Linked DNA regions of Schizosaccharomyces pombe. Changing the gene in region 2 together with the main gene of any one other region gives a genetic interaction. Each region holds a gene or a part of one and is shown on either strand. Other genes may lie near its edges.

Evidence for each region. A genetic interaction does not mean that the proteins touch.
Region 1: mutations in trm61 (region 2) and SPOM_SPCC576.02 together harm fitness less than expected from each alone (positive genetic interaction), as found in Schizosaccharomyces pombe (one large-scale study listed by BioGRID).

Annotation. Positions count from the first base shown.
Region 1 is NC_003421.2:2,079,941-2,084,527, reverse strand, and holds SPOM_SPCC576.02 (hydantoin racemase family protein), read right to left. Parts: upstream 2,822-4,587; 5' UTR 2,659-2,821; intron 2,617-2,658; 5' UTR 1,882-2,616; coding exon 1,171-1,881; 3' UTR 501-1,170; downstream 1-500. Other genes in the region: SPOM_SPCC576.19C (uncharacterized protein), read left to right, coding at 2,922-3,281; alpha-ketoglutarate-dependent xanthine dioxygenase Xan1, read left to right, coding at 3,866-4,587.
Region 2 is NC_003424.3:1,991,481-1,996,696, reverse strand, and holds trm61 (tRNA (m1A) methyltransferase complex catalytic subunit Trm61), read right to left. Parts: upstream 3,041-5,216; 5' UTR 2,768-3,040; coding exon 1,673-2,767; 3' UTR 1,490-1,672; coding exon of another isoform or gene 549-1,489; 3' UTR 507-548; downstream 1-506. Other genes in the region: Swr1 complex/NuA4 histone acetyltransferase complex subunit Swc4, read left to right, coding at 14-219, 284-372, 429-506, 549-1,489; mitotic septin Spn4, read left to right, coding at 3,768-4,910. UniProt on the Schizosaccharomyces pombe protein: Catalytic subunit of tRNA (adenine-N(1)-)-methyltransferase, which catalyzes the formation of N(1)-methyladenine at position 58 (m1A58) in initiator methionyl-tRNA.

The DNA.
Region 1 (4,587 bases), on a different chromosome or scaffold from region 2:
CAACCTATGTTTTAGTTTATACCAAGAAAATGGAACCTAAAAAAATTAAATCCTCTCATTGTTTTGCTTTGCGTCTATCGTTTTGTAACGCACCGACACGCACTGACATACCAAGTGACTTGCTACCTCAGATTATCTGGGGTAGACTTCGGTGGTTAAAAGAAGGTTAGTCCGTGGATTTCACTCCCTTCACCCGCATCTTCCTTATCAGGCCCAAAGGGAGTTAAACGAGTTACGCTCGTTGCGATAACATGTAAGCTACGCAGTTTGGTATCTGATTTAAGGATACGTAGAACTGCGGTGAGTTTTCCTTGTGGTCTATTATATTACAATACACAGGTTGTATAAGTAGCAACTGAGTATAGGTATTGTATTAACTGGGTTATAATGTTACCTATCACTAATATAGCTCATAACTGAACTGAGGAACGAGGTTCAGTTGTAACGCTATTTATAATATTTCTAAATACTTGTATCAACGGGTATCTATGTATATAGAAGGATAGTTACCCGTGATTATCAATAAACGGATCTTAGCTAGTATTCCAACATATGACATATAGTGATACGCAACGTAGTGTAGCATAGCGTAGTGTAGTATTGCTGACATAACGAGAATTTTCGAGATATAAAGAAGAATAGGTTTTCAGTTCATTCAAGTCAATATAAATGGATAGAGATACATAAAATAGAAATTTTAATTGTAGTCGCATTTTATTTTTTATTATTAGTAAAATAATATTTTACTTTGCCTCGTACCATATAGCTCATTCACAGCCTTCCAATGTTTCTAAACTGAAGAAGACTGGAAAAAGGCGAATGTAAAGAAATACAACAGTATAAACGAGATTGACTGCTTCCCAAAATGATTTTTTAAAAGGATGTTTGTAAATCTGCTTGTATCCAACACACTGGGCATACAGTGAAAAGTTATTCTTATGAAACCAATGTGTCAATACGCTTTGTAAACAATGACAGAAAAGAATGTATCAAGAGGTAATGGTTGTAATTATCACGTTATAGATAGGTATGTAATTATTGATATAAATCAAGAGAAAATGTATACGTATCCAGGAATATCAACCTTTGTCGTACACATTATTATGTGTGTGTATGTGATATAGCAGCATCAAACTGGTTTGCTAGATCTAAAAACATATGGACATCTCTTTATGGATACGTATAGATGCCAAACTTTGATGTATGAAGATTTTGACGAGCTAGGCCAGCAAGTAACTCAACAGCCGCATGTACACCATCAATGATGGGAATATTGGGACCTACGGCAACCTGAATCTGATCACGAATAGCTGCTAAAGCAGCACCACCTAAACAAATGACATCTGCACCCTTTGTGTTTGCCAGTTCTTGGGCCTTTTGGACAAGAAGGGTTTCACGCTCTTGTGAAGGCATTTGCGAAAGTTGCAAAACTGTGCGACCTGTAGAAGCAATGGCGGCCACTCGAGTGCGCGAAACACCAAAAGAATCGAGTAATTCGTAAAGCAAACATTCGGAACGATATGTACTTGTAAGGATGCCGATGCGCTGACCAACCGATAAGGCACTGAGGACAGACGCTTGCACAATGCCCATGCAGGGTAAAGCAAATGACTCACGAATCATGTCGACTAGAGGAGTGGGGGAATAACAGGCAACAGCTATAGCATCGACACCATCCAAGACACTAGGAGTTAGGGCTTGGAAGACTAGAGCAGCTGTCAAGGTTGCCTCTGTGATGGAGTCGATGACAGCAGCACCGGGTTGAGGACAAGTTAGAAAGCGCAACTTTACATCTGAAGGCACTAGGGGAACGAGTTTTTCTTCCATGGATGTTGTGATGAAGGTGGAAGAGTTTGGATTGATGACGAGAATGGTAGGCATGATGAGAGAAAATAGAAAGGTAAGAGACGAAGAGAAAGAAGGTAGAGAAGAGAAAGCGAAGAGAAAATAGTAAGAAAAAGAGCAAGCAAAGGGGAAATAGTAGAAAAAAAAAAAGTAAAAGAGAATGTTGAAGCTGAATTTACAGAGACACAAAAAATAATACAGTTTATTGGAAAATAAACCTTTTTTCTAAACTGTTTGTCAAAAACTAAAATTGAAAAACCAGTGTCACAATTTATTATAAAGTGTAGAAAATCGAGTTTCCAACAAAATGGCTTGAAAAACGAAAAATATTTTTAACAAGTAATGACTAAAATAGATTTGATCGTTTGTTTGGTTTTTGCTTATTTACTCTTAGTAGACTAGACTCGACTAGACAATCTATTTCAAGGTTGATGACTAAAAATGCTGTTTCAAGCTGCTGTAGACTGCAATTGAAATTGTCTACAGAATTGATAAGACGCAAATCAAGTGTAAGGGGTTGTTTGAGTAAACTTGGAAACTCCGTTTCCAAGTTGTTCAATGTGCACTCTGATAATGAACACAGTCGGACCCGAAGAGGAGATGAGACTGATGACTAGTAAACAGCGTCAGTGAGTAGCAGCAACGATGGTACTGATAGTATAGGTGATTGAAAAGTTTGTAGGACAATGTTGGATTGCTATGCTATACTTGAGCTGCCTTTGGAATGTTGGTCAAGCAAAGCACAAGCACCACTAACCACCAGACTTACTACTAGCGCTGTTAGGATTATGTAATTGAAATATTCTCATTTACCTGCAAAACGTTAAATCTTCTATATGCACTATCTCCCACTTTACTCTTTTACCGATTCTTTCCCACTCGTTCTACACTTGCAAACTCGAGTCCGAAGCCCGTTCCAACTCGCACCCTGTCCCACTAAAAATCGCACTCCAGAACATCGGTGCTTAGTCTTCTGGTCAAGAAATTTCCGCCGATTGTCTTAATGAATTCCCCTCAAACCTCAATTTAAGTCATCACCTAGACGGACGGGTGCGACTTGGGTATTCCCCCTATCGATGCCTACTTCTTCCAATGACCTTTACCAAACAAGACTTGATGTGCAGACGCCAAATCGATGGTTTCTTTACATTTCATTAGAATTGTTTAACAACATGTATTCTCCGTTTCGTAGCAGCTCAGTCTTACTCAGTGGTGCTCAGTCCGATATACCGAAGGTTGGCAAATGCTTGTTTTTGCCATGCCGCTCACTCGAATTTAGAGCATCGGCAAACTCACTTAGCGTACATTTCCTACTCAATGTAATTTCAGCAATCTTATCTATGTTGATAGAGAGGTATGCGGTAGAAGTGATAATGAGCAAAATTACATGGCCCAGGAGTAATGAGGATTGGAGGTTCCATGGTATAAAAGGTTGATGTGAATACCATGTTGTCTCATCAAATCAAAAGAAAAACTCACTGAAGAGAATCACACTGACCATTGTTCGTCTTGTGCTTCTGCTACAATTGATTTGAATTGAAGTTCATAATAATACCTGGGTGATACAACATCTACGTAAAGTCTTCAATTACTGCTACTCTCCGTAAAAACAACTAAATATTCGTAACTTTTCTCGCTGTCCCAGCTTGTTTACTTGCTCCGATAGCATTGTGCATTATTGACTTGTGTAAATTTCCTTTCAAATCTTAGTTTAATTTCGTTTTGAACAGCCAATACCCATCGTGTGTTGCTATAATCCATTGTTATAGATTTTCGAAAAGAAACAAACATTCGAAAACCACTCTACGCCATTGTTATCAATAAACGAAACGATTGTTGTGAATTTTCGACTTTTGCTCCTCTACTTGTCCAAAGTTGAACTCTACTAGTTTAAACGTTTTTAAGGTTATCAAGAATACCTTTTTTCTCATATTTTTTTTTCAATCCTCCTTTATTACTCGTTTCGTAAGAGAACCCATCTTGTTTCTTACCAACTTTTCTTTAAATTCTTCGTTCAATCATGTCTGCCACTGCTACTACTACGGTTGTGGAACCTCCTACCACCACTTTGACTGGTGCTACCGAGCCACCATTTACTGCTTATACCACTTCTCAAGGTCTTCGTGTTTCCCCTGTTCCATTGCCGGAACACAATACTGATGTTGGATTTGGTGCTTTGATCGAAAATGTTGACTTGAATAACCTCTCGGATGAACAATTCGAAGATATCCGTAAGGCTCTTTTCGAACATCAAGTGGTTTGTTTCCCCAATCAACACAATTTACCCCCAGAGACTCAGTACGCTATCACCCATCGCTTTGATCCCGAGTCTTCTACCTATGGTCACGGCAATCGTACAAATCAGCAAAACAACAGCATCTTACATCCCGATTTGCACACCCTTCCCGGTGTTCCTCAAGTACAACTCATTGGTCATGGTGTTGTGAAGGATCATTACGGTCTTGAAGAGGTCCGACTTAAACATCCTCATCATCGAACTTTCCATCGTGATCCCATTTCTGAGGAGGAAGAAAAAGAAAAACAAGTCACCCGTTTTTATCGTTGGCATATCGATGCTGCCCTTTATGACTATAACCCTCCTGTAGTCACTACCCTTCTCGCCGTTAATGCTCCACAAGGCACCCAAACTCTTCGATATGATGATAAGTCTGGCCATGAGATGCCTGTTCCATTAGGTTCGACAGCTTTCGCCTCAGGCTATCGCATGTACGAATTGCTCAC
Region 2 (5,216 bases):
AGTTCAAAATACAATGACTAGTGCTGACATTCGGGATGTCTTTGAATTACCTCCTCCTGAAATAGGAAATAAGCAGAAATCTAAAACTCCAACAGAGAGAAGGCCAGAAGGAATTTCTCGAGAACTTTATTCATTGCTAGGCGAGAATTCTGCCCCGTTAGCAATATACCAAAAGAAATTTAAGGAAAAACCAAAAGTTAGTCACAAAGCTAAAAATTGGTGAGTAAATCAGAGCTCAAATAAATAAATTTGTGTATTCAGTAAGGAATTTACTAATTTGTAGGGTACGCCAGCCCTTTTCCATATCAAGCCGTAAGGATGATTTTACTTTGCATCATTGGGTCCTTAAATCAGAAGTAGATTCTGAAGCCTGTATGTTTGAAATTTTATTTGATAAGCGCTTGGTTAAACTAACCTAAACTGTGTAGCATACAAATTTGAAAAATTTAACGTCCCTCTGTTTATAATTGACTACACCGACGAAGAGTACCAAAATTATTTAAAAGGTTGAGATTCTCTACTATATTTCATTAACTAATTTGTTGTAGATGAGGATTGGAATAAAGATGAAACCGACTACCTATTCCGTTTATGCAAAGATTATGACTTGAGGTTCTTTGTAATAGCAGATCGTTATGATAATGAAAAATATAAAAAACATCGAACGCTTGAAGATTTAAAAGACAGATTTTATTCTGTGTCGCGAAAAATTCTATTAGCCAGGAATCCCATTAATTCAATGACTGCTGCACAGAGCTCTTTGTTGAATACGATGGAGTACAATAAAGAGCAAGAAGTTATTCGGAAGAAGTATCTAATTGGGCTTGCTTCTAGGACGCCTGAAGAAGTTGCAGAAGAAGAAGCTTTATTTATTGAATTAAAACGTATTGAAACATCACAGGCTAAATTATTAAGTGATAGAGACGAAGTTCTCCGTCTATTAGATGAACAGAAAGGAGATGGTGGCATTCATGAATATCACACAAGTGCTGGAATGAGCAGTTTAATTCAAGATATGATTAATTCTCAAAGAACCAAAAATAAAGTGGAGGAAGCTATTGTATCTTCTTCAGCCCCTTCTTCTGGAGTGTCTAGTGTTTTAAATACCCCTACTCGTCCACATGCTCTCAGCACACCAAGAATCAGATACGGTCCGCAACCGACAGATCCACAATTTGGCATCACTTGGCACGAAAAACTACATCCGGGCACTTTTGTTCGTTCCCAAAAAATCCCTGCCATAAAGGCTTCTTTATCGCAGAGAGTTTCGTCAGTTATGACTGAACTAGGAGTTTCTTCAAGGCTGATTATGCCGACAGCTAAAAACTTTGAGAAGTTCGTTGAGCTACAAAACTCAATCGTTTCGCTACTGGAACTGAAAAGAAAGGTAGATAGACTATCTCAGGAAACTGAAATTCAGGACAAGTTGAGCCGTAAACGCTCAGCTTCTCCTGACGGCTCCGAGAGTAAAAAGCACATAAGTCAATAATTCTATGACATTATACTCGATCTCAATTTGGGTAGTTACGTTTTTATAATAACAAGTTTTGAATGTTTGACGCGTTAATATTATTTTTTGTACCCTGTATGTCATTTACCGTGCCTGTGTGTCCTTTGGAGTACTTCGGCCTATTTTCACTAAATTTCTGTTTTGCATAAATATGAAAGTTATCTAAGGGCCTGTCTCCTGGTTCTGTTTATCTAGCTGAGATGGCAAATGCACCGCAAATAGCAAATAACTGGTGTGTGATTTTAAGTTAGAATCAACTCTTGCAACATCTGTCCATTCGTAATTTCCATCACCTTCTCTAATGCGTTTGTTAGTAACGGGCTTTAACGCCGTTTCTGTGGACACAGAAGACTTGTTTTCACCAAGCATTGAATCGTTATCTTGATCTTCTACCTTCGCATCAGAAGATAAGTTTTGTTCACGCCTCATTTTTCTTCTCTCAAATCCTTCGATCCTCCTTCTTTTAACCTCTTTTAGCCTATCGATTGCTTCGTCAATATGAACAATTCGACTCTTACGAGCAGCCCATTGCTTATAATCAACTTCAATCATTTCAATATCACACCAGCCAAGTTCTCGTAGTGCTTCAGCAGAATGTTGAATTTGTTCTATACAAGGAGAAAAACAACAAATTCGAGTGCTTTTATCATGATTTACATGATTCGAAAGATGCGGTATTGCTTCCCAGGGAGCTGGAAGGTCTAAAAATATAGCGTCAACCTTTACCTCCGTATCCAAAAAACCATCTTTGCAGACATCTCTATGAGTTAGATGAGTATTTCCACCCACATCAATTAACATCTCGTGTTCCCGAAATTCTTGTAACGCTGTTTGATAGCGAGTTGCGTGATATTCGAAAGTAAATAATCTTCCAAGAGGGCCGACTGTTCGCGATATTGCGTGTGACATGCTAGCACTACCAGTACCAGCTTCTATTACTCGGGTTCCGTAAGTGATACGAAGCTTTTGGTGGATTAAAGCAATATCTGGAGTGTAAACAATTTGTGTTCTGTGAGGAAGAGCGAGGGTCCATAGTTCCGGAGTTGGTTGAAGAAGGTAAATAAATCCTTGCTTCGCTGTAGATGCAATTTGCTCGCCGTACCTTTTACCAATCATTTCGGAATGTGGGAAGGCACCATATTGATTATGAAATGTTTTTTCAGCTTCTATATGTAAAGGAATCAACTTGTTCCTACCAATCCAAGCTACTGCCAAATCGCCATTTTCAACACGTTGTTTATAGTCTGCAAATACCATTATAAATTTCAAAAAAACATATAATATATATATATATATATGTATTACGAAAAATTAGAAGGTAGTGTTATTTAATTGCGTTTTAACAAATCAATATAATTAGCCAAAGAAAAATTGGGACTTAATTTTTCGTTGGTCTAAATTACCGGGTGCATTCACGATTATTGAAGAGTTAATAAAATAAGTCAGTGTGAAGTATATGAAGATCCGCTCAAATCTGTAATTTTAAATCATACAAGACTGAAGTAAAGAAGTTTTTAAAACTAATGTGTTGAGATAAATTTTTTTAGTCTTTTCAAGATATTATGGTTAACCTATCCCTACGCCCACTATGCTATTATTTTAGTTAACATTTGTTTAGTGTAGCCATGTTTCATTAGTTAAATATTAATAACGATATCTCACATTAACTCTCAAAGCTACGAACGTAAAATTCGTTAAATAATTTAGAAAATGCTATCAATGCTGCCGTTAATTACTATGCTGCCACGAATTAACTTTACACTGCAACAAGTTAGTACTTGTATATCAACTAAAACAACGATTTTGATCATCATATTACCTGTGTAGTAACTATTTTCTTGAACAATATAATGAACATTAAATCAATAACTTAAATGCATACTTCCCAGCAATCTATTTCTGTTACGTAGTATAGAGGTTTTTATATATTTGCCAAGCATAATTTCTGGCATTCAGAATCTTTATGAAATTTAATGAGCAAACTAGTAATGATAGTTAGTATATTTACGAGACGAAAGCCCGTTAAAAATATAATGAGGTATAGTGATCATATAGTTATATCGCTAACGAGTGATTGCAACGAAGCTTCGATTATCTATTTACTTAGACCTTCCGTTTTTTACCATTTATGCTTTAATAAAACTAATAACAATTCTCTTGCATTTTTTGGAAACTTTTTTATTTAGTTTGGAAGCTTTTAAGTCAATATTTTACAGACCGTTAAACAAAGGAAATATACTATTCATCTCTGCGCGTCATGAATGAAGAAGAGACAAACTTCGTTGGAATTGCGGATTTACCTAATCAGCGTCACAAAATAGTTTCACGAAATGGTGTAGCTTTCACTTTGATGCTTTGTGGAGAGTCGGGTCTTGGTAAAACAACATTTTGTAATACACTCTTTTCAACAACAATTAAATCACATATGGGCCCGGAAAAGGTTCGTGCGAAGCATGCTGAGAAAACGGTCGAAATAGAGATTACAAAAGCTGAGTTAGAAGAAAAAAATTTCCACTTAAGGTTGACAGTAATTGATACCCCTGGTTTTGGGGATTTTATCAATAATTCAGGATGTTGGGAGTCGGTAGTTGAATTTATAGAAGACCAGCATGAATCGTACATGAGACAAGATCAGCAGCCAGATCGTCGTAAGATCATTGATATGCGTATTCATGCTTGCCTATATTTTTTGCGTCCCGTAAGAAATGGTGTTCGGCCTATGGATTTGGAGGCTATGAAACATATTTCTAAGCGTGTCAATTTAATTCCTGTCATAGCTAAAGCCGATATGTATACTCGAAGGGATTTAGCTCTGTATAAAACTAGAATTTCTCAAGTTTTAGAATACCATCAAGTCAATGTTTATAAACCTAATATGGATGAGGGCGATCCCGTTTTTCACAGACAAATTCAAGGAATCATTAATTGCATGCCATTCGCGATTGTTGGAAGCGAAGATGACATCCGTACTCCTGATGGTAGGGTCGTTAAGGGTAGAGAATACCCATGGGGAATTGTTGAAATTGAGAACGAAGAACACTGCGACTTTAAACAGCTTAGGAATATTTTAATTCGGAGTTGTATGCTTGATTTGATTCAAACTACTGAAGAAAAGTTGTATGAGCAATATCGACAAGAGCAGATGAAAGTTCGCCAGTATGGAGAACCTAAACTGCGGACTATTGATAATGCGAAATTTAAGGAAGAAGAAGAAAATTTGAGAAAAAGATTTACAGAACAAGTGCGCGTAGAAGAAACTCGATTTCGACAATGGGAACAACGCTTGATTGCCGAACGCGACTCATTAAATAAAGATTTGGAAGCTCAGCATGTTCAAATAAAACAAATTGAACTTGAAATCGAACGACTAAAGGCGGCTACCAGCTCTCGCAAACGTTAGAGATAATGTTAAAATATAACGAAACTTGATACCCAATTATCATTTGGGTTTGTTTGCTAGTGAACCATACTATCATCTTTTATGGTCCTTCATTTCTAATACATAATGTCAAACGTCTATCTTGCCTCCCGTATAAATTACATTCTTTAGACAATCAATTAACTATATGATTTTATTTTATTTTTTCTATGCCTTTATACACTCTTTTATTGTGGTTTTATTCAACGTATAGTACATATGCTTTCATAAGTTGCTCAATTTTTATATAATTTTGATATCGAATAAATTTTCTGTATCTTATAAAAT